4 linked regions of the Tamandua tetradactyla genome follow. The protein of the gene in region 1 interacts with the protein of each later gene in a pairwise test. Links are inferred from orthologs where the notes say so. Each region holds a gene or a part of one and is shown on either strand. Other genes may lie near its edges. The genes, in order: MIPOL1, UTP25, CCT3 and TTC12.

What was found.
Region 2: the proteins of MIPOL1 (region 1) and UTP25 interact in binary tests that used the Homo sapiens proteins (3 or more experiments, as listed by UniProt). The link is inferred for Tamandua tetradactyla from reciprocal best matches to the Homo sapiens genes MIPOL1 and UTP25.
Region 3: the proteins of MIPOL1 (region 1) and CCT3 interact in binary tests that used the Homo sapiens proteins (3 or more experiments, as listed by UniProt). The two-hybrid records come from large-scale screens. The link is inferred for Tamandua tetradactyla from reciprocal best matches to the Homo sapiens genes MIPOL1 and CCT3.
Region 4: the proteins of MIPOL1 (region 1) and TTC12 interact in binary tests that used the Homo sapiens proteins (3 or more experiments, as listed by UniProt). The two-hybrid records come from large-scale screens. The link is inferred for Tamandua tetradactyla from reciprocal best matches to the Homo sapiens genes MIPOL1 and TTC12.

Annotation. Positions count from the first base shown.
Region 1 is NC_135340.1:16,267,820-16,274,896, reverse strand, and holds the start of MIPOL1 (mirror-image polydactyly gene 1 protein), read left to right. Parts: upstream 1-4,063; 5' UTR 4,064-4,101; coding exon 4,102-4,108; intron 4,109-7,077.
Region 2 is NC_135330.1:67,905,636-67,912,606, forward strand, and holds the start of UTP25 (U3 small nucleolar RNA-associated protein 25 homolog), read left to right. Parts: upstream 1-3,971; 5' UTR 3,972-4,064; coding exon 4,065-4,171; intron 4,172-4,891; coding exon 4,892-4,931; intron 4,932-5,684; coding exon 5,685-5,925; intron 5,926-6,971. UniProt on the Homo sapiens protein: Component of the ribosomal small subunit processome for the biogenesis of ribosomes, functions in pre-ribosomal RNA (pre-rRNA) processing. Essential for embryonic development in part through the regulation of p53 pathway.
Region 3 is NC_135330.1:9,339,637-9,347,074, reverse strand, and holds the start of CCT3 (T-complex protein 1 subunit gamma), read left to right. Parts: upstream 1-4,432; 5' UTR 4,433-4,636; coding exon 4,637-4,667; intron 4,668-6,145; coding exon 6,146-6,207; intron 6,208-6,873; coding exon 6,874-6,924; intron 6,925-7,016; coding exon 7,017-7,079; intron 7,080-7,407; coding exon 7,408-7,438. Other genes in the region: TSACC (TSSK6-activating co-chaperone protein), read right to left, coding at 1,117-1,176, 4,214-4,274. UniProt on the Homo sapiens protein: Component of the chaperonin-containing T-complex (TRiC), a molecular chaperone complex that assists the folding of actin, tubulin and other proteins upon ATP hydrolysis.
Region 4 is NC_135334.1:27,791,749-27,799,568, forward strand, and holds the start of TTC12 (tetratricopeptide repeat protein 12), read right to left. Parts: upstream 3,002-7,820; 5' UTR 2,916-3,001; exon of another isoform or gene 2,724-2,915; intron 2,586-2,723; exon of another isoform or gene 2,376-2,585; intron 2,317-2,375; exon of another isoform or gene 2,134-2,316; intron 1,339-2,133; 5' UTR 1,324-1,338; coding exon 1,266-1,323; intron 1-1,265. UniProt on the Homo sapiens protein: Cytoplasmic protein that plays a role in the proper assembly of dynein arm complexes in motile cilia in both respiratory cells and sperm flagella.

The sequences.
Region 1 (7,077 bases):
CAGAAATGGTCCAAGTTGATTGGCTGTTTGTATAGTAGGACTGATGTGACTTCTTGAATTTATACTTTTTTTCGTAAGTGGCAAAAAATATTTTAGCATATGTCCACTCACTACTTTTTGTTTATAAATTGGTCTGTAGTAGTTGAATAAAAAACTTGAGAGGGTCACCAAATACTCCAACTTTTAGATTTTTAGAATCAAAACAACCTGTTGTGGAGGGCACTTTATCTTTTGGGGAGAAGTTTCAGATGTAATTTGTGTTTTCCTTTTTCATATGATTTTTCCTTGGGAGTATAAACAGCAAACTTAAAACTGCCTTCAAATTTTTGAAATTGGTTTTATAGATTAGTTGATAGTCTAAGTGACTGAATTAAAAAAAGTCTGATCTGTAGCTTTTGGGTAAAATTTCCTTTGCCAGATGGTAAAATTATGCTTGTAAGATGTAGGGTTAAAAAAACAATTTTAAACAATTTACCTTTCATTATTATTTTTCTAATTTCACCTTTTTTATTATCTAGTTTTCATACATTGTGAACTTTTGCTACTTTGAAATTAGGATGCTAGTGGATTAGAAGTTAGAACTGATTGGTTCATATTGATAAAATATACTTGTTGCATAGGAACTGAGTAAGTTTTGCAAATTGTTACATATATAAAAATTAACAATTAAATGCTGCTTTTTAATATGGTACTGCTGGCTATACCTACAGTAATTCACTGTATTCTAAAGTTAACTAGCATGGTGTGTTCATTGATTTAAGCATTTTTTTCATACAGAAATATGGTCAAAGTTAAGCCCAAGATATCTTTATTTCTTTCCTAATTAACATCCTTTTTCCGCCCTGTTTTCAAAATTTTTAGATTAATAGGTTAGTATAGGTAAGGGCTTATCATTAGTTTCCTTGAACCAACATGTTTTAGAGTAACTGTGATAGGAAAGACAGAATAAAGGGTCAGGTTTGTATACAAATTCTAAGATTTGGAATATTGAGTATAAGCTCTTCTGTGTCTTTTCCACAGTTTAATGTAAGTGTAAAGATTTTATAACTTGAAAAAATTCCCATTTAAAGGAGAACAGTTTCAAAATTATAAAGAAACCAAATGTTCCAAAATTTGGAGTCACTGGAAGCCTAGTTAATAGCTTTTAAGAGTTTAAAGTTAAAAAAAAAAAGGTGTTATTTACAGTTCAGTAAATGTTTGTTTCCTTTCAGAAACCTTCATTGCCTGCAATTTTAAATTAACCTAAGAGCTAAGACCAGGGCTTATTAGTCCAGGAAAGATGAACAAAGATAAAACAAAAATTTTCATTAAAAAAAAAAAATAGAAAACAACAACAACGCGTCTCGATCTCCTGAGAATGCAGTAGACACTAGCACCAGAGACTTCCTCTGCATTTTTAATAGGCCATTTGCTCTCTATGATGTTCTATATTGAACCTTTATTACTTTTTTCTTGTTGAAGAATCTCTTCCCCTCCTCCAAGTCATTTGAAATGAATCCGTTAAAAATTTTACTCTTTTCACGCTTTTATGTCTCAAATATTTAATGTTTTTGCTTACAGTTTAAAATGCCGACTATAACATGGGTTGGTGAGGCTATAGTATCACTGATTAACAAGGCACAGTTGATTAATGAAATGGGATCCCCCAGCTTTTCCTTTTATGCCTTTGGTTTGTTTTTGTTTTTATTTTCTTTTTGCCGGGAAAAATGGTGCATTTGAATAAAACATGCCATTTGCATAGAAAGTTATGTAATGATGCCATATAGAGTATAATGATTTCCTAAAATCTTGTATTTAAAGTAACCTGAATTACAATAAGAGATAAACAGAATATTTACCCATCCCTTATGAGTTGCTGCTGATATGTAAATTTATTCTTCTACTTTGCACAAATATACTTTTGAGCTACTGCTTAAACACTTTTAGGTCCTTAGTCAAACAGTTTTAATGATGCTTCCAATATTATGAAAGTGTGACATTTGATGAATGTCTCATATAGTTTTGGTATCTGGGCACATGTCAGTAAAAAAAAATGAACACTGGTTTGTCATGCATCACCTAGACAGTTTATAATTTTACTGTTTATATCCATCTTGACATTTTTTATCTGCCAAAGGCAGGTTTCATTTGGAATCTTAATCTGAGATTTATTTGGTGGATCTGGAAATCATAGCTAGGGTTCCCACAGGAAATGGTCCATCTACCAACAGATTAAATGGCAGTCCTGCAGTTGTTAGGGGAGCTCTGCATTTAACACACATGCATACTCATTCAGTCAGCACTGTGGAGAAAAATTAAAGTAGTAACCCAGGTTTAGGAACAATGTAGCTAAAAAGTCCCATATTTGCTGAATGACAAAGGGTTATATAGCAGCATTTCATTTTATTATTCGTGCTTGAATTTCTTGTTTGCTTTGTTGAGTCTGCTGACGAATACTAATAAATGCCTGCAACAATCCAGACGAGAAATGCCTGGCAACAAAGCTATGCAGTGGACCTCCCTGATCTTCTCCAGTTCACAACCTGACCTTTTGAAAAATTGGCTGGGCTAAGCTGTAGAATTTGGGTGTAATGGTTATTGTTAACTTCAGCTTTAGGATTTATTAATTTGTGTGATCAAGACTTACCTATACTTCAAAGTTTCAAAAGACCAAACACAATCATCCATCCATTAGAACTAACACTGTGTTTCAGTGATTCCCACTTAGTATCTGACTGGTGATTCTTCTATTTTGATGTTTTCAAAGTGTAAGGATTGTAAAGATGTTCTTAAATAAAATGAGAGGCATGTATGAATAAAATCTGTTATTTTCCTTTATAGTTATTATTGGGGAAGTTCCATCCATAAATGATTTGTGAAATTATTGTGAATTTGTGAAATCATAATTGGTATGTGTTTATAGTTAAATAATATAGTTATTAAACTTATTTTGCTTGCAGTTGTAGAAAGTTACGACTTGCTCTGTTCATTCATGTTTTCAGTTGTCTCATAAATTATTCCTATGATGAGAATATTTTAGAAAGGTTGAAAGAGTTCAAATTAGCCAAATAGCTTGTATCACTGGGAGAAAAAAAAGAATAAAAATTGGTTATGATAGTTGATCAATTTTAAGATAGTTTTCACAATCATTTTAGCCTAAATAATATTTGGAATCCTTTATGCAGGGCAATATGTTTTTAAAAACCTTAGTTTATGTGAAATATTTATCAGTTAATAGGTAGCCTAAGCTGTAGATTACTGTTATATTGTATCTATGGCCTTCATATGAGGAAGGATGTTGGAAAAGCTTAAACATTAATATATAATTGCACAAATGCTTATATACTTTGAGTAGTTTTACACAGAATCTAAATTTTTCCTTAATAGAATGAATGAGTTCATGACTATTTGAGACTTGATGAAACAACAGAAACTTAAAAAACATTGTTGTAATACCACCACTTTAAATAGCTTTTTATAATAAAAACCAAAATGTCAATAAAGTAATTTTCCATGATAATTAGAAACATTGTATACTACAGCATTGAATTATTATGATCAAAGATAAAATGACCACCAATTCTTTTTGACATATATGTTATCTAGAGATACAACCATGTAAGAGTATAAGGGGTTCAGTTTATTTTGAATGTGTAACTCTAGTACCCAAATAAATGAATTATTGATATTGACAGTTTCCATAGTTTTGTATTCAGTGGGAGATTTATTGACTTTATGAAATCTTATATCAAAATTTAATAGCTACAGCTAGCCTCTACCTCTCAAATGCTTTCTGCTTCCCCTTTATATATCTATAGTATACATTATATGTAAATATAATGCACCTTATTATAACTAAATAATAATCTGTGAACCTGTGTGCTTTCTGATTCAGTAGCCACGTGAGGCTCTTAGGCCCTTGAAATGTGTCTAGTCCATATTAAGATATACTGTAAGTGTAGTATAAACAAGAATGTAAAGTTTATCAATAATAATTGATTACATGTTGAAATGATAGTATTTTTTATATATTGGGTTAAATAAATATAATTTAACTTGTTCTAGTTACTTTTTTTTTCTTCTGCATGGGCAGGCACTGGGAATGGAACCTAGGTCTCCGGCATGGCAGGTGAGAATTCTGCCCCTGAGCCACCATCGCATGGCCCTCTAGTTACTTTTTAATGTGGTTGCTAGAAGCTTTAAAATTGTATTAGTGACTTGCATCAATATTTCCTCTTATTGATCCATTTCTTTTCAGTGAATAGAAGTTCTAAGATAGCTACAGTTTTTTAAAATGTGCTTTTAATGAGTATAGGAAGCTTACAGTCTAAAAAAAAGGACCAAATATAGTTGAGAAGGCCATAAATTGTATAGACCATATCTATGTAATTCTTTTTCTCCGGTGCATCCAGTTAAGACGCATTCAGAATTAAATTGGCAATCAGATTAAAAAATAGACAAAGATAAATTATTCTCTTAACAGTTTTATTTTTACTTTATGTGGAGACAACCAAAAGTACATGTAAAAGTTTTTTTAAGTTGAGATAGAGAGTAATGTGTGTGCAGACCAATAAAAGTGACTGTTACATTTTTTTTAATGGCTATTCAAGCTGAAACACAAATAATAAAATCCCTGAATTAGTATACAGTATCCAGGTAACAAGTCTGCATTTTTAAAGTCAAAGGTCCAAAGTTGCCTATTTTCCTATGACCCCTAAATTAGATTCTCTGAAGGATAAGTGCCTGTGTTAAGTACCTAATTCTATCCAATGTCATTTGCCAGTATAGTGAGTACTCAAATTATGTTACAGAAATTTGCTGTTGAAATTTCCCATTTTCTTTCTATGGGATGGAATTTTCTTTGAAGAATTGAATTAGATAGCATTTTATTTTCCAACCTGTGTCTCCTGATATTTTAACAAGAAAGTTTTATATACATTAATGCTTCTGAAGAATTTTCCCACATAGTTGATAACTTTTGGGGGTAAAAACAATAAATGTAAACATAATAACTTGCCAGATAAGGATAGCTGTGATGGCCATAGATCATCAACTAAATTTATGTAGGAAATTGAGAAATTTTTAGTTATGAAAACTAAGGTAATGCCCTATTAGTATAATAGATGTCTTTTTTTGATTTTATTCTAAATACTAGAGAGATTAATTAAAGATATACCTTTAAATCAAGAGATTAATTAATATGCATTTGAATTGAAAGTTTGTGATCTCAAGATGGTGATATTTGTGATCTCTCAGGAAGGTGAAATCAAAATAGTGAAACAAGCTTTAATCTTAAAGCAGATTATAACAGCTAGCAGCTAACATTAATTGAGTGTGCCTTCTATGTTGACATTTTTCCTAGAGATTTATATAATTTAAAATATCTTAATCCTCATTACTACCTTTTGAGGTGTAGGTAATAGCACATCTTGTAGATAGGGAAATTCATGAAAGGTTAAATAATTTGCTAAAGGGCATACAGCTAAGTGGTAGAACCAAAATTCAAGCCCTGCAGTATGGCTTCAGAAGTCATCCATACACTCTGGAAAGTCTAAACAAACCAGTGTTTTCTTTGGAAATTTTAAACTTTTCTCTTGTAAACCTTAGTAAGTCATATGACTGAAGATTCTGATGTTTTTCTTTTATCTTTGGGCTGAAAAACATATTAAATTTATCTATGTGGAAAACTAACCTTTTCCCCGACAAAAGAAGGAAATAAGTAGTAGGAAATAAATTGTATTTATACACATATACATGTACGGAGGGGGAGATAGAGAATGAACCTACATTTACTTAAAGAATTGGTAGAAGTTATTTAGAGGCTAGTTGATAATGTTTTTATTACTTTGAAACTAATGTTCATAAATAAATCCTTAACCATTGAAAAAGTATATTTCGTTTAAAATGTGAAACTATTCTACTAATTTATATTCCTGCTTTAGTAGCAGAAAGCATGTCATTTATATCCAAATATAGCGTGACAGACATTATAGAAAAGAAAGATGTGCTAAACATGAGGCTTTTGCTCTTTTTAATTAATTATATGATCAGATGCAAAGCCATAAAGGATGAAAACTTTAAAGAAGTGATGACCAATTGTGTTAGCAAGTGTGGGAAACATTAATACATTGCCTTTAGTATAATTCATTTTAGATATACTCTGAAGTAGCACGTGCATCTTAAGAAGATAGGAGATCCACTGGTGTGAATGTACTTGCCTACAGTACTTCTTTGCTCCTTTCTCTTTTCTGTCCCTGAGCTCTCAGGTAGCTGGGGTGTTGCTATTCAGAGTAACCCCAGTAGGATCCCTAGAGATAATTCTTGCTCAACCACTCTGAAGAAACAGCTCTGTCAACAGTATTGAACCCCCAGGGGACCATCAAATCCATTTACACAGATACCAGTTGTCAGAAACTATTTACGAAGCCCGGCAGAACAGAATTTCCCTGCTTCTAAGAATCCTATTTGATTGTAGCCCTCTCCTCATCTGTATAATAGTTGAAAAAGGAAATAACAGTCATTTTTGGCCCAGAGTCAGATTTCTTGGGGATTATCCATTTAACTCAGTATATTTTACATTAATATATAATTGTCTGGAAAATTGAACTCAAAGACCAACCCAAAGCTTTCTTTCCTGTGATAGGACGTGGTATCTTAATACTGCTAATTTTGTAGACTATGGAATTGAGAGTGTAACAGCAACGCTGGCATTGAGATAGCTGGCCACACTGATACCTACAGAAATAAGGAGAATTCATTAGATCATGAAAATGATCCAGTGGAACAGCCTGAAGGTCACAGAAAGATAGAGGGTCTTCAAAACATATAATGCAGCTGGCCTAGGAACATGTATTTAATATTAAGATTAAAAAATTTTTTTACTTAGACTACCTGGTTTGCCTAGGTGGCAAACTGTTTCTAGTAATAGCGGTAGGTAGTGTTTTAGAGGAACTCTTGGTAGTTAGACTTTTATAGTGTCATTTTCAAATGGTCACAGGATGAGTTTGCATGGCAGTGATAGCATGATAGCACTAGAATAACAGCAAAATTTGGGAAATCATATTTTTTGAAGTGATTAAGTTTTTATGTCCAAATAAA
Region 2 (6,971 bases), on another chromosome or scaffold:
ATGCTGTGTAATCCGATGACTATGCAGCTCTTTCTATATTCTTCATCTCCTGTCTTGAATACACACACAAGCTGGTCATGAAGTCAGCAGTAACAGCTCATGCAACCTAAATTCTGGAACCTAGATCAATTCTGAGTTGAACATTAGTGTTCAATGAATGTGACTGATGGACAGATGCCGAATGGCAGCGCAGAGCAGATCGCTCCAGGCTGGGAAGACCCCTGTGCTGGCTGCTTCCTTAGCATTCAGCATTTCTCAGTTCACCGTTTCTCGCAAAGCACTGTGATTGTCATCTGTGTACTTATCTGTCTCCTGACATGACTGTGAACGCCTGGAGAAGGCTGGGGATGGGTCGTATCCTTTTTCTTAGTCTCAGCTACTACCATGGTGCCTGGCACATTGTAAGTCTTCGGTAAATTATTTTTTGAATGAATGAATGAGTTCATTATATTATAAGGGTAATGAGAGACTGATTTCTGCCAATGCTCTCAGGGAGAGGCCTGATTACTTCAGATGTGGGTAGAGACATGTGTGTGCATATGTGGTGCAGGAGCTGGTCCTGTATGTAGGAAACTGTCTATATGATTTAAGGGTCTCCAAGGAGAGCCTGACTCCCACACTCCTGAGCACACACACACACAACACACACACAACACATACACACACACACACACACACATCTTTTCCCAGAAGCAACCTGAGCCAGAAGTAGAGCTGTATGAAACTTCATCATTAGAGATTCAAACTTTTGGATTTCATGTTGCTCCTTCTCAACATCTTCTGAACCCATGTGCCCTTGTGATACACTTTCTTGTCTGAAACATCCCAAGTATCTTATATGTACCCTCTTGTGTACTTCCCCCTGGTTCTATTGAGAATATCAGCTAGAGCTCTGCTAACTTTCTGTGGTTTGCATTAGAAAGTGGTTTGTTTGTCTTTCAAAGATACAGCTATATATCAAAAAAAGCTCTTTCAAACCATATATATCATCGTAGTTGCAAGGGATTATAAACACGTCAAATTTGTATACCTTCGTGAGTTCATAAAAATAATAAAAACAAAAATAAATGCGAAAACTTGGTCCATCACTGTTAGACGATATAGTCAATCAACTTATGTTGAAAATTGCTAAGTGAAGGGAAATAATCAAGTATTTACTCTGCTTTTTTTCATAAAATTGTCCCCTTGGGTAGCCATCTTAGGTGAGGGAGAAGTTTATCTTCCTAGAAGTAGTCCAGCAACTAGGTACGAAGAAATGATAGAACAGCCCCATAATGGCAATCCCTACTGAATGAACAGTTTCAGACATTTAGCATCAGTGGGTGCTAGTATCATAAAAAGAAAGGCAACCAGACATTGTGTGCCTTCTGATGGAAGCATAAAATATCACATAAATTATAGTCTTGATTAACACTGTAGATCCAACTACCAATTCACAGGAAATATAAAAGAGGAATATATTAAAACAATGAAGTGTAAAATAATTATGACAAGAGACGATTTAGAAATTTGAAAATTGATCAGATAGATACATGATGACATTAACCAATATTTTTAGGTGAAATAATGGTATTGTGGTTATATTTGAAAATAACCTTTACTTTTAGAAATGCATACTAAAATATCTACAGATAAAATAATATGATGTTAGGGACGTGCTTCAGAAAGAATGCAGAGTGGGGGCAAGAGCATAATAAAAAAATAATAATAAAGCAGTGAGTGGACATTTACATGAAATGAAGTCTCCTTGAGTTGATAATCATTGAAGCTGAGTAATGGGTACATGGGAGTTCATTTTTTCATCCTGTCTACTTTTGTATATGTTTGAACTTTTCTATAAAAAAAATTTTGGTTTTGTTTTTTGGTTATAACACCTTCCTGGATATTCTGATATTCTTGTCCTAAGGGAGGGGTATCTGTCTCCACCCTTTGAGAATCGAGTCTCTTCTAAATTGCAAGTGCCCTGGGAAAAAGTAACTTATTAATTCATTAACATTTCTTTATGAACGAATATAAAAGATTATTTCCTAGACTGCCTTTACCTCTCGAAAACTACTGAGTATTTGAGGGCAGAGATAAGAAACAACTTTGGAGGAGGGGAAAGGAAGGGCCAAGAGTGGGAAGAAGAAAGGATAGAAAAATTTTTGCCTTTATTACAACTTTCCTAGGGCCTTCACTTGTTGGTATGTACATCTTTGTATGGGTTTCCCTAAGAGAACTTTCACTGGGAAAATGCTTAAATTTGGGGCTTTCAGGTTAAAAGTTCTAAAAAAGCCTACTTTTATTTTTTCAAAGGCTATTATAAATATTTTCAAAAGACAGTCTCCTCTTTCCCTGCCCTGTGAGCCAATGATGAGACAGTTTGGGTGGGGCTAGAGCACATTTTTGCCCGAATCTGAGAATGGTCTAGATCTTCACACAGAACTGCCAGAATGTGGAAACAAAGAATGACTCAGAAATCACCGCAAGTGCTCAAGAGCATAGCTTTTTATAGAAAACACTGGAAGAATACCAGGAAACTGGTTGCCTCTGGGGAGAGAAGCTGGGCACTGGGATATGGTTGGAGGAGGAAAAAAAGCATGGCTCTTTATTGTTATGGCCAGGTTTACTGTGGTTAGCACCTTAAAATATATGACGACATTTTGCAAACAGCGTTTTGTTGACATAAGTGACTGTACCATTTATCTTCAAATTGGACAGAAGACAGATGTCCGTTTATGGGTTCTTGATTGGGCCAGCTGCTGGTCACCATCAGCTCTGTTTGCATATTTTCTCCTCCCTGTCGTTGCCTTCTCCACCTCAGCCTCTCAGAGTCTAATTAGGAGTAGATGGCTACCAGCACTGACAAAATAGGGTGCTAATAGTTTTATTACAACTTCCCATAGGTGTAAAATGGTATTGGGCAAAGCTCAAATTTTTCCATAGACATACCCCTATATAACGGAGTCCAGTGAACACTCTCTTTAATGCCTCCTGTTTTACCTTAAATATTCTGCTGAATTTTGCAGTCTGTGAATTTGTACTTTGCTTTTATAGAACATGATATTATACGTTTAGGAAAAGTTTCTCACTATGTTTATCCTGAGATCTGCATATCCCTGGGCTACTGAGTCCAGTTTTTCTTTTTTTTTACTTGCTTAGGTTTTTTACATATATAAAATTCACCAATTTTAAGTGTTCAGTTGGATCAGTTTTGGTTACACGGTGTAACCACCGCCATGATCAAGATGTATATCCATTAGTCCCTTCATACTGAAAAGTTTCTCCACTCTTTACCCAAGCCATTGGATTGAATTCTACTGCCTTCTCCAACATTGACTCTCGGGATGATTTTTGGAAAGTTCCTTTGCTTGTCTTTGCTGCACCTGTAAAACGAGGGATGTAGGTTCGGATTTGTTTTCTAGGGTTCTTCTAATACTTTTAGGAATGGCGGGAGTGGTGTGGGGGTCAGGAATCTCAACCGTGTGACCCCATTCCTGATATAACACACGCAAGGTGGTGGCGCTTAGTAGCTAAAAGCATATGGCCCATCAAACTTGGATTTCCATCTCCTCTTTTGCTAGAGTATACCTTTTCCAGACACCAGTTTTCCCATCTGCAATATCAGGCTTATCACAGGACCTACTTCTGTACAGTTGTGAGGATAAAGTGAGATGCGTCAGGCATCCGTGCCTGATGGTTGATATTTTTATCATAGTGTAATATAAAGTCACGGCATGCAACCATATCCACGCCTACGCATTTCTGTAGGTGATTACCATAACCAAAACCTAACCACAAGTACTCTCCCACCCACAGGGAAAGTTCCAAGACCGATCTGCCAAGTTCAGGGATCTGTAAGTAAATGTGCCAGCGTGCACTTCCAAGGAGCCTCGCTAGAGGGCAGAATCGGGACCAGGAAGTTCTAGCGTCTGGCGTGAAAACGCGTCGTAAAGCGGATCTGCTTTCTTGCATCCTGCTTCCGCCGTAAAGCGCTGTCGGCGGGCACACGTGGTTGGGTTGTCTGAGCAACTTGCCGGGAAATACAACGATTCTTGAAGGTGGGCATATCTGGCGTTTTCAGTATGGGCAAACGCGGGAGCCGGAGCCAGAGCCAACTGCTCAGCACCCTGACTAAAAAGCAGAAGAAACATCTTCGGGATTTCGGCGAGGAACATCCCTTCTATGACAGGTCCGGAGGGGGCGGGGCAGGAACCAGTGGTGCCAGTGTCTTTCCCGGTGGGAACCGGAGTTTCTCTTCGTAGTCGGGTCCCACAGGTCCTCGACTAGCGATGATTCTCGCGGCTTTCAGCTGGGAAATGGGGTTCTTCAGTTGTCTTTCTACCTTTGTTGAACTGGTAACTTCACGCTAGACGGCATGTCTACCTGTGTGGGCTGGATTTTGTATGGTAAGAGATCTGACCATGAGATCTTCTAAGGTTGTTTGTGTGTGTGTGCGTGCGTGTTTATAAAATTGCTTGTGACCTTCGACATCATTGTAATCTATCCAGTTACAGTGAAGAGACTGATGTTATCTGACAGGTAATTGTGTGTTCCTCGGTTGGTGTCCATACTTCACGGCTGTGACCTTGGTGCCCATCCCACCAGTCTGAGCTGCCTTATTAGCCATTGGTGAGCTCTTCTAATTGAGGATTTTTCTAGAGAAAAGATGAACCCCGAGGCCTTTTATTTGCCAAATTGTGTCCTTCTTTTGGATGTGGATACATCCAGTTTCTATGTGACTTTTCATTTGTCATAAGTAAGTGCGTGACTTGTCAGTTACTCTCTATTGGTCGTATCCTATGGTTACAATGAATTTACACTAATTTAGTCTCTTTTGCATTTTAATGTACCAGACTTTTATTTAGTTATTACATACTAGTAGTATTTAACATTACCTGTTTCTTCTCAGGGTTTCCAGAAAGGAAGCAAAACCACAGATCTGTCAACTGGTAATGCTTTCTTTATGCCTTCTTTATAATTGTGCTTTCTAATTGTTACTTTGGGGATTACATATGATAATAAAGTTTTACCACGTTTCTACTCTTTTCGATTTTAGGTCTAAGTTATTATTTTAGTAGTAGTGCTTAGTTTTGTGCAGATGCCTGTAATTACCATTGTGGTAACAAATATGAAAGCCAGAGTTTGAAACTGTTCTTAGAGACTTAAGCCTATTAAATAGGACCAGTTAAGGGGACCTACTAGAAGACTCTTAGTGAATCATAAGGGGCAAATGGTTTGCCCTGCATAAAATGAGCCACAAGTAGCAAAATGAGTAGAGTTACTATCTCATTACAACAAACTGAAAGATTGTTTCTTGTATTGTAGTTTTTTGTTGGTTTTTTTTTTTTTGGGTTATAATTTCTCCTGTGGTTCCTTTAAATGTATATTCTGTCATGTCTAGGATATAAATTAAATCTCATTATAACTTAAAGCTCTATGTCTTAAAAGTTAGTTTTCTTCCCACGTGGGGCATTAACAGTTTGAAGAAGATAAAAAGCCTCCAGAATCATAGCTAGATTAGCCATTTTAAATACATTTGGTGCTGGGCTTGGTTGAATAAATAGGGTTGCATAATATTTGCAGAAAAACTAATTTTTAGTTAGGAAAGTCTGAACCTGTTACACTTTTGGCCTGGCCATAGACATAAGATATGATGAGAACAATATAGCTTTTTATTTGAAAACTTCCATTTTCCCTTTTAGTCAGAAAGTTCAGATACTTCAGGTTCTGAAAGTGAAGCCGAGAGCGAACCAGAGCAAGTTTCAGGGTACCACAAACTACTTGCCACATTGAAGAATGTTTCTGAGGAAGACGAGGATGAAGAGGAAGAAGAAGACAGTGTTGCAGATGAAGCAGAAATAAACAGTGAGGGTGATGATGACGATGATGATGATGTCAGTGTGGAAGAAGAGACTGCAGCAGTGTCTACTGAAAGGCATGAGAGTAGGTGTCTTTGGTGTGGGCTCACCTTTGCCGGAACCACAGACAGATTGCTCCCTGGACACAGGGCCCTGTCCTGTGTGAGCTGGGTGAGAGCACAGGGATCTATAGCAGAGATTCATAAACCTTGTTGGGTTCAGTGATGTCTTTGAGAATTTTGTGCAAATACAAGACCCTCTCAGCAGAAAAATGGAGAAAAAACATTTTTGCTTATGATTTCAGGTACTTTGTCGATCCTACTGAAAGCACTGCCACCCCCCCAACCCCACTGATATAGAGGAAGGAGAACATAGCTTGTCATTGTGATGATCTCACTGTGTTGAAGAGGTTGTTGTTCCTCCCTTAGGGAAAGTTTAGTGGAATATAAACATAAAAATATACAAATGTTTTCAAGCAGCAGATTTGTATGAAACAGCTACATACAAAGTGTTGAAGAGATAGAGGCAGAGTAGTCACACGCTGCTATGGTAAATTAGGGAATGCTTCAGGGAAGAGCTGGGATTTAAAGCGCAAAGGAACTCTTTCTTATCTAGACTTACAGGTAACTTTTTTCTTTAATATATAATCAGCTTAATTGAGGTCTAATTTACATAAAATAAAACACACCCATTTCAAGTTTGATGAGTTTTGACAATGTATACATCTGTGGTAGTACCACCAAAACCAAGATGTAGAACATTTCCATTACTTCCAAAAAATTTTTCCTTGTTCTTTTGCTGTCACCCCCCCCCCCCCACATTAGGTGACCACTGATTCGCTTTCTGTTACTATAGATTAGTTTTGCCTGTTCTAGAATATCATATACATGAACTCATACGGTATATACCCTTTTGTATCTGGCTTCTTTTGTTCAGCATGCTTTTGCAATTCATCATGCTGTTCATGTATTAGTTTATTCATTTATATTGCTGGAGTAATATACCATTGTCTAAATATAGCTGTGTGACTTTTTATCACTAAAATAGGCATCACTATCTTAATGCCTATTTTCCTTATAGCCTTGTAGGGTTTTTTTAAGATGTCAGGTACTATTCTCAGTATTTTAACTG
Region 3 (7,438 bases), on another chromosome or scaffold:
ATCCATGGGGGCCAGGCTGAGATGCTTTCAGGCCGGAAAGTCATCGAGCTTTAGAAAACTAAAGTCTGTCATGTTCCCTGTCAGCTATTCTTGGTGAGGGAACATATATATATTTTTTCCTTTTTACTGGGTTTGGGGATTTTCCAAGGCCTACGGTAGGTCACCCACCTTCTCCTTCCACGTGCTCCAGAGGCATCAGTCATTTGATGGTTCATGTAGAGTGGTATAGAGATAGAAGCTGAAATTCATCTCTCAATTCACCACTTGAAAATTTGTTAATTTCCATGCAAGTGCACCGTTAAATTATTTGAGCCCACCCTGTGTGTATAAGGACGTGCTATCTACTGGATTATAAGGTTTGAAGAATCTTTTACTCACAGCCTATACTAAAGGAATGGTATTTCTCATTAGACAATGTACAACAGAAGATTAGGTTGGGGAGCCGCAAAGAAGTCAGGATGGAGAAAACAATGAAAAGTCCTTTACATACCTTATCTTATGTATTTCCCACAACAGCCCTGTGAGATCACTAATCCCCATTTTATTTCAGGAAACAGGAAATCTGCTCATGATTCCACAATGATTACATGGCAGCGCTGGAATTAACGTTGGGCCTGCAGATGCCAATTATGCTCTTTACCACTGCACTATATACTCTGTGAAAAGAACTAATTAAATCTATGTTCAAGGAGGGCAGAGTGGGTGTCTCTGTTACAGGAAGCTAACCTCCTACAGTTAAGTGGGTAGGCTCTGGAGTCAGACGGCCTAAGACATTCTCCTGGCCACCACTGGGATTGTCCCACTCAAACTTATTATCTATTCACTCTAGTCAACACCTTGTCTTAATGGAGCCCTGTTCATAACATCTTATTATAAGGGGAGATAGAAATTTACCTAATAATTATTGAACATCTACCATATAAGAGATCCAGTTCTAGGCATTGGGAATACAGCAATGTTCCCATTTAGTGGGGAATGCAGAACAAACACACCTGCTTTCCAATTAACCAAGTAAAAGGGAAAAGCATATATACAACTAGAATCATTTTCCCATAGGCTGAGGAATTGGGGAGGTCTGGCGTTTAAGGGAGGGGAAACAAGGTCTCTGACACACACCTCTTCTGCTAGTAGGACGACTAGTGTGCTGCTCCATCTGGACACCAACAGGTGTGGCACCTGGGAAAGAATCACAGCATCACATAATCAACAACTCTTGACTGTATAGACTGTATGTGCATGGAGATTTCTCAATAAAAATATACATATTTTAAATACATGCTATTATTTTTACTATTGACAACTTCATAAGCTGTCTTGAGCAAGTTTCAAGCTGTTTTAATTTGGAGAGGAAAGGGTGTGCTCTATTTCATGGCCAAATATAAGTTATTTATCAGCAATCTACCGTTCTATTACTACTGTTTCTATTATTATTGCTTCCTTTCTTCTGGACAAAATAGTAATTTAACCAACTTATTTAAACTTACAAATTTAAGTTTCCTAAGAATGGGTCACAACTAGCTTAAATGAATACCATAAGTGCATGGAACCTTGAGTAGGGCATGAGATTTTGTAGGCTTGTCCAGAGTGATGCCCCGATAAATCCCAGAGTGATTTGAACAGTGAATAAAAAAGTATTTGCAAAGTTCCCTTGGGGGGATGGTGAGAAGGGGGGGAAATTCAACTTTCCCAAGTGGAGAATTCCTGATGTTCTCACAAGCAGTGGGAACAACCAAAGCAATAGGCTGAGTCCCCAGTCTTGGGGTTTGTTCATGTGAAACTTAAACCCCCAAAGGATAGGCTAAGCCTACTTAAAATTAGGCCTGGACAGGCCATGGTGGCTTAGCAGGTAGAGTTCTTGCCTGCCATGCCAGAGACCTGGGTTCGATTCCCGGTGCCTGCCCATGTTAAAAAAAAAACAAAAAAAATAGGCCTAAGACTCACCCCCAAGGAGACATCTATTGTTGCTCAGATGTGGCTCTCTCTCTCAGCCAACATGACATGGAAACTCACTGACCTCCCCCTCTCTACATAGGTCATGACTCCCAGCGGTGTGGACTTTCCTGGCAACGTAGGACAGAAATCCCAGAATGAGCTGAGACTCAGCACCAAGGGATTGAGAAAACCTTCTCCATGGAAAGGGGGAAGACAGAAATGAGACAAAATGGAGTGTTAGTGGCTGAGAGATTCCAAACAGAGTGGAGAGGTTATCCTGGAGGTTATTCTTACACATTAAATAGATATCACCTTCTTAGTTAAGGTGTAATGGAGAGGCTGGAGGGAAGTGCCTGAAACTGTAGAGCTGTGTTCAGTAGCCATGTTTCTTGAAGATGATTGTATAATGATAGAGCTTTTGCTATGTGACTGTCTGATGGTGTAAGTCTTGTGTCTGATGCTTCTTTTATCTACCTTATACACATATAAGGTAGATAAAACATACCTTATAAATAAACAGATAATATGGATTAAAAATAAACAGATAATAGGGGGAAGAAATGTTAAAATAAAAATTTAGTAGATTGAAATGCTAGTGATCAATGAAAGGGAGGGGTAAGGGGTATGGTATGTATGAATTTTTTTGTTTTCATTTCTTTTTCTGAATTGACACAAATGTTTGAAGAAATGATCACGATGATGCATATATAACTATGTGATGATATTGTGAATTACTGATCATATATGTAAAATGGAATGATCATATGGTAAGAATGTTTATGTTTGTATGTTTAATAAACAAAATAAATTTAAAAATCAACAAGAACGGGTTACAAAATCCCGACAGAAAGCAGCCCCAATTTCTCTCTGGTTTAACAGGGTATTCTCTTCATGTTTAATTTCTGCAGTATCATCCCTTTTCCTGTCCTGCACAGCAATTTTAAATATCTGGCTCCCCATCAAAATCTCTAAGGGATCAGCAACTGAGTGCATGGTGGGGGTGCAGGGCTGCCATGCGGAAAGAGAACCTCAAAGCACTAGACAGAATTTTTTTTTTCTTTTAAAACTTTTTTTATTGTATAGTATAACATATATACAAAGCAAAGAAATAAAAAAGCAATAGTAGCACTCTTCAAAAAGTGGTTACAGGATAGATCCCAGAGTTCGTCATGAGCCACAACACCATCCTCTCATATTTTCCCTTCTAGCTGCTCCAGAATATAGGGGGCTAGAGAGCTTAAATACGTTTTTATCATCACAACTGACTTTTTTTCCTTCTTTTTTGTGAACAATAACATATATTAAAAAAGCTATAAATTTCCAAGCACAGCACCAAAACGAGTTATAGAACCTATTTCAGACTTTGACATGAATTACAATTTCACAATTTTAGGTTTTTACTTCTAGCCTCTCTAAAATATTAGAGACTAAAAGAGATATCAATTTAATGATTCAGCATTCATATTCATTTGTTAAGTCCTATCGTCTATGTATAATTTCACCACCACCTTTGATCTTTCCATACCTCTCATTGGGGTTGTTTGGGCTATGGCAATTTTAAATTTTTGATATTGGAAGGGTCTTTCATAATATGGATTTGTTATTATTTTTAACACCAGCAACACATTTATACACTACCTCGGGAGCTAAGAATAGTTCATAATTGGAACTGAAGACATTTTCATTATATTGAAAAGCTTTGTGTGATTTCCTCAGGTGAACAGGCCATAGGCTTCACTCCCAAAGAAATTTTAAAAATGCAGAGAGGGAAATAAAGGGTACCAGAAGAAGCGAGAATGGGAGTAGACAATGACAATGACACTCCTGACGGGCACAGGATAGAGAAAACAAAAAGGACATTTCAGGGGGAATAAATTGCAAGTGACAACAAGGATAACAGGAAACAGAAACTAGACAGAATATTTGAGCAAAGGTTTCTGATAAACGAACTAAAAAAAAAAAAACGCAAACCATCTACCGCTACAGGTTTAGTAAACACGGGCCTAAGAAGGGAAAGTTTCGCACATAGTCATGCGAGTCCAAAATCGATGAGCCACAACTCCCAGGGTGCCTGGGGAAAGGCTCGGTGCGCTCAGCCCGCTAAAACTACAACTCCCATCATCTCCCGCACCAAACCGACCAGGTCTTTCCTAAACGGCCAGTTGAAATTCAGACCTTCTATTCCTTCTCGTTGCTAAAGCCGGAACAAAACACTGGAAACTGTCACACTTTCCTTGAACTCCGAAAAGCACTGAGGCTCAAGACACTTTAAAAACCTCACCTGCGGCGTTAATCCAAAGCCTCAACCCCAGCGCCCGCCCCTCAATGTAGCTGATGCGCATGCGCAGTAGGGTGTGGCCAACTGCCTGAGCCTTGGCGCTTGCGCTGAAGTTCGCGCTGCACGCGGTCAGGATCGGCCACCCTATTGCGCAAGCGCCGGTGCCCTACCATTTCCATCTTCGCGCTCTCTCTATCTAGCTTGCCCTGCCGTTCTTGCGTGGGAGGCGGGACTAACGATGTCCATTGGCCTGTTTTCTTGTCGGTTAATGAGCTACGTGCGGTGATTGGCGGCGGCTGGGAGAGTAGCGGGTTTAGGTGTAAGCCCGGAGGAGACACCGTTTTCTGGGCTTTTGCTTGGTTTTCTTTCTCTAGAAGGTTCTGCCGCCTCCCCAGCTGTGGGTACCCGGCTTTGTATCACGTCGCCATGATGGGCCATCGTCCCGTGCTCGTGCTCAGTGAGTTCTGGGGAATCCGGGGAAGGGCCTCTTTTTCGCTTCCATCCCGGTACTCTTCTCAGTGTTGCCTCAGTAGGTCCCGCCCTGGCCCGGCCACCGACTCTCCTAGTCATCGGGCTCGTTTAGGAAGTCCGCTTTCCTCCTTTTTCTTAACCCATTCTCCCCTCTACACAGACGCAAACTGATGCTTTTCTTCGCCGATCCTCCTGCCTTTCCTTGTATTCATATCGGGAGGCTCCTTGCCACTCGGTCCGGTTCCTCGCCCCAGGCCCCTGCGCCCTGTCGTAGTCCTCTTGCGGGGTTTTCAGTGTGGTGTAATAATGAAAGAATAATGTGTTTTGTTTTTTTTTCATTAGGCCTAACTTAATTTCCTTGGCTCACCCCTTGTTAGCGTGTCTTCGGGCAAGTTGTTTGTGTTTCGATCTGTATAATGGGGTTAATAGTATTTCCTCGTAAAATTGTGGAGATTAAATAAGTAGGCAAACTGCTCAGAAAAGGATCTTGCAAATAGTGAATGGTATTCTTGGACACTTACCATTGATTCCTTTTAAATTTTCATTCAGTAATTCCTGTTCCTGAAGTAACCTTTCTTCTCCCACTGGTTTTTCTTCAGGTGTAATCATTTCCTCTGTGACTGCTGCTTTGTAATCTTTCCCTCTAACCAGCTGTTTTCCAAGTTTCTCTTTTAGAGTGGTTCTCTTTACTCTTTGGAAATATCCTTAAGTTCTTTCTGATTTACAGGCTGCACCTCCATTGTCTTCCCCAGGTATATTTCCATTGTGTGTTTAACTTCTATACACCTAAGGTGCCTGTCTGACCATTTCCCTTACGCTGCCATGTTTATACAGAATGCTGTTCAGAGTTTTTATCCATTTTCTTTATACCTAGGGAATACCTTTTAAGAAGATTTTTTTTACAAAAAATTTTACTTTGTCCTGAAAAAGTTATTTTCTTTCTGAAGGTTTGTAGGTCCATGCAGGTTTTTAGTTACCACTGCCTGAGATAGGAATGTAAACCTTGAGGGTTTGCAGGTGTTTAAATTTGATGAGACTGGATTGAAAGATTTATAGAGTTAAATTAACTTGTAGGGGAATATGTAACTTGGTGAGGCATTGCCTTGGTTTATGTCCATTGAGGGGGTCCTGGGGTGAATAGTGATATGTGAAGTCTTTTTCAGGTCTGCAAATAATCCCTACTTGAATTATGTGAATGTTTGGATAGCGGGAAGGTGATAACCAAGATTCCACAGTTGAAGTGTTATGGGGTTATTTCTTAGTATATCAGAAATCAAAGTAAATAAAGAGGTAAATAGCCATAAGTATGAATTTTTAACTGCTTCTTGAGATACAATTGATTAGTAAGTTTTGACCTTTATGTATACCTGTATCTTTATTTTTACTTTCAGAGGTTGGGGGATAAATGGCTTATGTACAGTGGAGCCATTATGGGCTGTTGCCTTTTTGTTTTTTATCTCTCAGGCCAGAACACAAAGCGTGAATCTGGAAGAAAAGTTCAGTCTGGGAACATCAGTGCTGCCAAGGTAGCATATCTTTTAAGTGTTTAGAGTGTAGTAGTTTGCCTTTTAGTATTTCTTTATTTCTTCATAGTGATAAATCCCATGTGCAGTTAGAGGAAAAATTGTTTTCAGGACATTGCCCTGATGAGATGGAGAGGGAAGGGGGCCCTCCCCTCTGAATTAGGCCTAATAGTTTTTTTACATAAAAACTATTTCTGTTACTGTAGTTGTTTTTAAATATTCTATTCGTATTTGTCTCCCATACTGTACTGAGTTATTTGAGGGGAAGGAATTACTATTAATTACTTTCTATATCCTAGGGCCCACTGTAGGTCCTGTGTGGGCAGTCAGTAATTATATTTTGAATGAAGGAATGAAGTATCTCTAGACCAGATTTAAGGTGGTATGGAAATCACTGTCATGGAAAGAAAGACTGATACTTCTAGGAGGCCTTTCCCCTTTTTTCTGGTGAGGTTGTTTCTTTCTACATCCACTCTGAAAACATTCCCTGAGGGGATGAGAGCTAGGCACAGGGCATGCTCTGTAGTGGTTACCAACCTTACTCTAAAGTAAAGGTGTCATTGTTAAAATTAAAACAGTGGCTATGCATATTACCCATGCCCCCTTCTACCACTCTCACAGGCCTCAGACTTGTGCTTTTTTTTTTTTTCAATGTTTTCTGTCCATTAGACTATTGCAGATATCATCAGAACATGTTTGGGACCCAAGTCCATGATGAAGGTAGGCTTGTCTCTTATTGAAGTTCTCAGACTACGAATTTTATTTTCCCTTTCTGTTTTCTGGGACTCTCAAATATAACTTTTGCTTCTTAGATGCTTTTGGACCCAATGGGAGGCATTGTGATGACCAATGATGGCAATGCCATTCTTCGTGAGGTGTGACTTTTCATTTTCTTTTCAAACAGTTTTATAAATAATAATATCTATAAAGAAGTATGTATGTAGGTGGTCTGTCAAGTAAATAAGCTAAAAGCTACTCTTCTGGGAACGAATAACTGAGTTGGCATAATGCATTTTTTCCCAAAAAGTAAGAGTATTGGGAAAGTGGAATTACTCTTTTTAGTCTTTCAAGGTGTGGTAAGGAAATAAAGGGAAAGAGAGTAAGTGTAGAGCAAGAAGCTCAAAAGTTAGGGCAAAGCAGAATGGGTTTAGAAGTCTTTGAGTGGTATTAAGTCTTTTTTTTTTTTTTTTCCTTCTCCCCCAGATTCAAGTGCAGCATCCAGCAGCCAAATCTA
Region 4 (7,820 bases), on another chromosome or scaffold:
GCCAGATGTGCATTTTACCTACTTTACACGATGGGGAATGTAAGCCTGGAGGCAGAAGAAACAATTAAGGGGTTGTTGAAATAGTCTGGGTGAGAAGAACCAGAGCCAAGGGAGAGGTGGAGAGGAAGAGTTGGAGGAAGCAGCAAAACTCGAGGGCTGACTGGATACAGGGCTGGAGGGTGGTGCCACCCAGAGATGAGGAGAAGCAGGCCTCATTTGGGAGGGAAGGCTGAGGTGGGGAAGAGGGGGGTGATGATGAATTCCATTTCGGATACATTACGTTTGAGGTGTTAATGGGGTGAAGTGGATATAACCGTTGACCATAAAACTGAGGCTCAGAAAAGAAGTAAAGCTAGTGATGTAGACACAGGGATTATCAGAAAACAGGGGCTACTTAATATCATCTCCTTGGACTAGATCACCTGAAAAGAAAGGTGAGCAGGGGGCCAAGGCTGGAGCCCCCACAGAAGAGCAATATTTAAAGATGAGCAGGGGAGAGGACCAGGATGTGTCATTTATGAAGATATCCAAACTATTTTTTTTAGCCATTTTATTCTTTGGACCTATACAATCTTCTGGAGGTAGCAACGTCAACACATTTCTATTTGCTATGTTAGGTTTGTTTGTTTGCTACAAGCTCCCTGATGTTTGGCCAGGGGCTGCCTGGTTTGGAATCTCTTGTGCCTAACTGTGGGATCAGATGATGTTCTGTGAGACGCCACCTATCTGAGCCGGGCAAAGGGTCTTCTTATCCAGAGGAAGAGAGAGGGGATGACAGCCCTGTGCCACCCATGTACCTTGATGGATGCTGAGGAAAAGCCATTTGATATTTGCCTCTGCAGGTAAAATGGAGCTGGCTCTACCCTGAAACGGGAAAGATCCCAGACTGATCAACAGGAACCTTGAGTGCTCTCCTCGAAGGGAACAGCCAGAGCTCATTGACAACAGGGAAACAGAAGGTCAACAGCAACTGTTTGACCCGGTTCCACACAGAGGGGACAAAATAGAGAGGAGAGCTGTGAGCCTGAATTCCAATAAGAATGTTAACAAGTTTTCTGATACCAATTAATGCTGCCAGAAAGTACTGCCCCAGGCTATAACGTTGTTCTCAATATGCTTTCTATTAGTTCTAATTTACATTTTTCCTTAAAAGTCATTAAACTTGTCAGGTAACCCAGCAACTAACTTAGAGTGATGATCTCTTTTTATTCACTCCTACCCCTCTAAAGCAGAATTTAATTGGTTTATGATTTACTGGTACTTACTGATTTCATCCACATTTTTAAGAAATTTTTGCAAGTCTTTCTCTTGATCCTCAGCCATTGTAGATCAGAATCCCTGAGGGAGGCAGCATAAACGATGAAAATTAATAAGAAAACACTAAACAGAATTCGTCAAGCTCATTAGCCTTCTAAAACTAAGAGCCAAGTGATAATTTTTAAGATGGATTTCTTTTTACAAACGCAATGAATAACAGCATGCTGACTGCTGTTTACCGCCAAGGATAGTTATTATCTGTGGAGCTATTTCTGGAAAGCTGCCAGCCCTCTCTCCACTGGGGAAATGTCCCTGAAGAAACGACTCCCCAAAACCAGCATCGGTTGCTGTGACCCGGGGTCCTGGTGTGGAGGCTGGGGTGAGAGCCCCTGACCCAGTGCCAGGGAGAGAGAAGGATGCCATCACCTAACTTCCACCCTGACAGACCCCTCCCTGCAGTTGTAAGAAGCTTTGCCCTGGCCTTCTGACAAATGGAGACTGGTTGCAATTTGCATCTTGATGTTCGTACTTGTTTAAAATGTAAGCCTTTGGCTTGTTTCTGGGGAGTGAAGAGAAGCTACAATTTCACTGAAGGGATGAGAGCTAATTTCTTCTCTCCAGTTAGGTGCCTTTAGATTTATTAACTCAGTGTTGCTTCTGAGTGAAATCACACCATGTATGCAGTGGTTCCCAAAGGTTCATCCACAGACCATAACTATCACCTGGAAACTTGTTACATATATAGATTTTTTAGTCTTAGCCCAGATTCTCAATCAGTAAGGCTGGAATAGTTGACAGCAAGGTGGAGTTTTAGACATACTTCTAGTGGGTCTAATTCTCTGGTAGGTTTGGGACCCAGTACTAACGGTAACACACCTATAACTGGAAATCAGAAATCTGCCAGGCTTTCATTTCTGCCAGGAACAAGATGTGAGCACTTTCACCTCTGAGTCTGTGTCCTTATTTTCACCGATTTCCAGCTCTGTGGCCTTGGCTAAAGTCACAACCTCTGAGCCTTAGGCTTCAGGGACAACAAATCTCGAGGACTGAAGGGCTGACCTGGGGATTAACGTAAAGCACCAGTCACACAATGAGTGGCAAATGTGAGGCACCCTCACCTATAAAACAGGAGGTGGGGATGTACGTGTTCGTTGCATGATCAATAAAGCTCTTTTCAGCCCAAACATTTGCAATTCCCACGGAACCAAGGCCAAGGGAGGAACATCCATGAGCAGGAACCGACCCCTCTGCACCAAGGGCAGGGATCTACGGCCGCAAAATGCCAGCACGTGCAACGAACGCCAAGGGAAGAGGGTTAGCGTAGTACGGCACAGGAAGTGCCCGGGGCTTCACTCCGTAGGGGACTGGGACCTGCATGGCCGCGCGCGGGACCGGCGACACGCACGTCCGGCGCCGACGACGCGCACGCTCAGTCGCCCGCTCACGGCCCGGCGCCGAGGGGCGGAGCCGATGCCACTGTTGCCCCGGCAACCGCTCCACCGCGTCCACCGGCCCCTGTGCCCGCGATGGGGTCCCAGCCCGCGGAAGATACCGTCCCATCTGCTGGGAACCAAACCAGCGTCTTTTTCTCGGACCCCATGACGCCAGTCTAGGGCCAGTTCCTGGGGAAGACCCCGCAGCCACCGCGGTGCACTGACCTGAAACGCCCAGAGTCGGACAGGAAATGGCGGCGGGGGCCGGACGGTGACTGGCCCCGGCCCTGGAGGAAAGGGGCGGGGTCCAGGGATGGAGGGGGCGGGGCCATGGGCAGCGGGGCGGGGCGTGAGTTCGCGCTTGGTTTCGCCGCGAATTCCAAGGCCGGGTAAGGGACTGGGGTACCCGACGAAGTCGCTGGGAAGGGGAAGCAGCAAAGAAGTTCGGAGGGACCCGTGCTGGTCTCTAGAGCAGTGCCAAGTTTTCGCCTTCTGTTCTTCTAAAGGTGGGGGAAGGGTCTTGCTCGAACAGTTTAGTAGCTCTGGCTCAAAAGGCTGAAATTCTCCGGGGTTCTCTGGAGTGGCTTGTATGAATCCCGGTTTTATAGATTGATAAAGGTGGGCCTTGGGAGTGAGTTGTAACCAATTTGATGCTCGGTTTTCTCATCTATTAAATGAAGAAATGACACTTTCCTGTAAGGTTCAAGTCCCTGGCACCCAAGACAGTAGGAATAAGTGGCAGTTAGTATCCAGGGAATCACTGCAGGATTCAGAGCAGAATGAGACAATGGACACGTTCATTCACACTCTGAATACATGCACACACCCTTAAACAGACGCCTGTCTGTTTAAAAAAGAAAAAAAAATCAGTGGTTAAGTGGTGGGTTACCACGCATGTTTGGGCGGTAGTCCCATCTTGAGCTTAAACTGTTGTTTAGAAACATCTGGGCCTTCTTGGCGAACTTGTGGGTGTTTTATAGAAATCTGGCTAGTAGGGTGGAAGAGGCAGCCCCTGGGGACAGGACTTACGAGAGAAGAGGGGTCCAGGCAGGCTGCTAGATCCAACGCTGAGTCTGGGTATGGCCAGGTGACTGTCTTAAGGCAGACCCCAGAGGATGCATGGCCAAGCCCCACAGAGAGCAGAGGACCCATCTGATTGAAATGTCCAGAAGGCATCGGTACAAAATGTTATTAACTATTGTAGCAACTATTGTGATTAGTGTGCCTTGGAGCAGTGCTTCTGCACTTTTTGCAATATCTGAGGATCTTGTTAAAATGTGGGTTCTGGTTCAGTAGTCCTGGGGGCAAGATTCCTCAGTGACAGCTGTCTTTGGGCTGTGGACGACACTGGGTAGCAATGCACAGACACGTTATTAGAGGCTGGGGATGTAGTAGAGCAAGCTGGTCCCAAGGCGCCAGATTCAAGGAGGTAAAGGTCAATGAACAAACCATCATTTAAATTTTCACTGGGATAAGCGCCAAAAGAAGGAAAGGGTGAAAAGCAAAAGTAGCAAAGGGTGCTGTGAATGACTAGTCTGCAAATCTTGGAAATAATGTTCTCTGAGGAAGTGATGTTTAAGCCAAGACTATCTTTTCTTGGGGGGGTTGGGGGGGTGCATGGTATGAGAATCAAACCCAGGTCTCCCGCATTGAAGAGACTGTCTTTTTAAAGTTACTGTTAGGTTGGGTTATCCATCACTCCCAGGCAAAATTAATGGTAATTCATAGGGGAAGCAAGCATTCATTCCACTAATATTACTTTTAAAGGTGGACATCTAAATGCTTTCATCATAACTCTAAATAGTCCCAAATGTTAGAATACTAGCATACTACAGTCTTGATATTTTTAAATAAAGCACATTGATTTTTAAAAATTTATTTATTAATTAAAAAATTAAACCAAATAAAACATCAACATATATAATCAGTAATTCACAATATCATCACTTAGTAAGCACATTGATTTAAGGACTCTAAACATCAGAACAATTTGATATTGAGGTCATTCAACTGAAAGGCACATGAATGATATATTTTCTTTATAGCTAGGAATTATATAATTCCTGTTCTCAAAATCATATTTCCATTTTATATACCTCCCCAAATAATATCTCAATGGAGGGTATTTTTATGCTTGAACTCCTTTCATTGTTTGTCCCATCATATTTCTCTGCCACAGAAGTATTGATAAACAGTCTTTGGTAGCTTCCTTTGACCAGATACCACACTAAGAGCTATGGGCACAGCCTCTGTCCTCAAGGAGCACACAGCCGTCCAGGTCCAACAAAGAAGACAGATGCCTAAACAGATTATGAGAACTGTTGATAAGTGCAGTGATGGTCTAGTGCCTAAGGGGGTGGGGAGAGGAAGTGGTATAGCCAAGGTCCCATAGGAATAGGAATTGAAGTGCTGATATAGGAATTGGGGTGTGTGGAGCTATACAGACAGAGGGAAAGGATGAGCAAAGGTTGGGAGGCAAAAAACATTTTCTGTTTCTAAGAAAACAGAAAAATGTAAGGTGAGAGTGATGAGGGAGGAGCCTAGGGAGATAGGTAGGGACAGGACATCAAGGTAGAAACCCATTAAGTAAGAAAGTGACAAAGTCAGCAATGCAGGCGGGAGATGCTGAGTTACCTGGGGCAGGAGGGATGTGGGAAGGACATAAAGGTGGAAGCAGGTGCTTTGGGGACTATAGTTACTTAGGCTTCAGAAGAAGCTTCCACCTCAGTGATCCCGCATATAACTTCGCTGAGCCTAGCCTTTGCTCCCAAACTCCAGCCCTCTAAATCCAATGGGATAAGTAGTCTTTGAGTTTCTCGGGAGTAGGGATATTGTTTTACTTTGTCTTGGCATGCCCAGCACCTGGCGCTTATTGGAACTAAGTAAAGATTTGTTGAATAAGAAGTGAGTTAATCTCTTGTTCTGCTTGCAGGAAGACTCAATTCTAAATTATTCTAGATGGGAAAGTAATAGGGGTATTTATAGTCTCTGCCTCCGGCTTTCCAGAGAGCAAGCATTGTTGCGGTCACAAAATAATTTTTAGGGTAGCGCTCACACTAGACAGACTGATGGCTTTAAACTCTCAGAAGACCTAGTAAGCTCTGGATAGTCAATCCTTGGGTTGTCCACAAAACCTAAAGGTTACAGTTTTCCTCCTTTCCAGCACACAGTAAGGTCTCACTTTCTTACCTTTTGAAGCTAGGTATGATCAGGTGACTTGCTAGGAAGAAGTGAAGTGGACAGATGCCTTTTAAAGGCAGCATGTGACTCACCCTATGTACCCCTTCCCTCTACCCTAGCAGCGGAAGGCAGATGCTCTTTTAGCCCGAGTCCCTGATGACACATCAGGTGGGGAACAAGAGCCCTTTCTTGTTATGATCCACAAAGACCTGGGCTTGTTTGTAACCACAGCGGGACATGATCCATCACGTGATCTTCACTTGCAACAGTGACAAGGGCTGGGGATCCTGGCACAGGCTTATGTAGCTCATGACGGTTGCGATTTACATTGTGTCAGTGTCACGGCTTTCTCATGCATTTTCAAGCATGTAGAGAGAAACGGCTTTTTAAAAGCAGGGACTTGCATTTCAAATATATACCACTTCGGGAACCTTTAGGAATCACACTTTCACAACTGCTACTGCTGCCGACCTAAGTCCCTTGTGTGCTGCTTAAGCTTTTCTTTTTCTTTATGTCTTCAGTAAAAACTGGAGACTATTTGATCACCTTCCACTGTATAGTAAATCTGAGACTTGGAGATTGTTGTAAGCCAGTTTTCTTCTCTTTTACTCTCTATCATTTATTTGTATATACAATCCTAGCTCTTTGCCTTTCCTCTCTAATCATACTTTTTAAATTTAAGAGAGATCAAGAAGGATAAAACCTTTTTTCTGAGGGCAGATGCATGAGGAATAAAGGGGTCCTATCTTTGCCTGCTGGAAGTAAAGGATGTAGAGAAGGTGGGTCTGGAGCCCTTTGGATAAAACCCCCCCCTGGATGCTGGGGCTGCAACTCATTTTATAGCTTTGGCTTTAAGACTTAGAGCAGGAAGCTGAAGGACTTTAGCAGTCTCTCCATCCCTAAAGAAACCCCCCAAATCATGTTTGATCCTCCCACCCCCAATATATGTCCTTTCACTTAAGAACAAAACAAGAAAGAAAAAGCTGAAATTTCACCTCTTGTACTCCCCAACTCTTCTTGTTCTTTCAATTCCCACTTTACTATAGATGAAGGAGTAATTTCAGGATCCAGTCACAGATCTAGTCTGTGGGTCCATTAGAGGCAAACATCTTTCTTGAGATTCCTGTGCTGAATTAATGACACTGTGGTTAATGTCAAAAAAACTGAGAATAACTGACCCTCACCGAGCCACTGCCACCGAGGCAGGCCCTCTGCTCAATCTTTTATTGTCTGGGGTAGATTGAGCTGTGTTCTTAGTTTTAATCCATTCCCCTGGCTGTGAACCCATTGTAAATAGGACCACTTGAAGTTGTCATTTTTAGTTAAGGTATGGTCTTAATCTTATTACTGGAAATTTAGAGAGAAAGCTATGGAAGAAGCAGGAAGTTGGAAGTCACAGAACATGAAAGAGAAAGGAAAGGACCTCATCTATGATGGGAAAGCCAAGGAACCTGAGGATTTTCAGCCAGCCAAAACTCGGTCAGCCCCAGGAGGAAGCGAACCTCCCAGGCTCTAAAACTGTGAACCCATAAATTCCTGCTTTTAAGGCACCAATTTTGTGGCATTTGTTATAGCAGCTGGTAAACTAAGACACATGTATTATTTAACCTGCATTTTCAGCAGCCTTCACGACGTTCTCATTACCGTTTCACAGAGAAGAAAATACCATCAGGAAAGTTAAGTGTGTTGCCAGAGGCTGAGCTGAGGTGTGAACCCGGGGCTGTGCGGTCCCCCACCCCCAGCCCACCCTGCCTCAGGTCGCTGTCCTGTCTCCCGTGTGTCATCACTCCTCCCACGGGAGCTCTGCTTTGAACTCCTACAGTCCTCAGCAAGGACCTCCTTGGTCCTGTGGCTGGATAGCCCCTCATAGGCTGGTCTGAGCCTCCAAAGGCAATGGATATGTCCTTCCTGTAGCCAGAGGGGCATATCCATTAAGAAGGGAGGGTGATT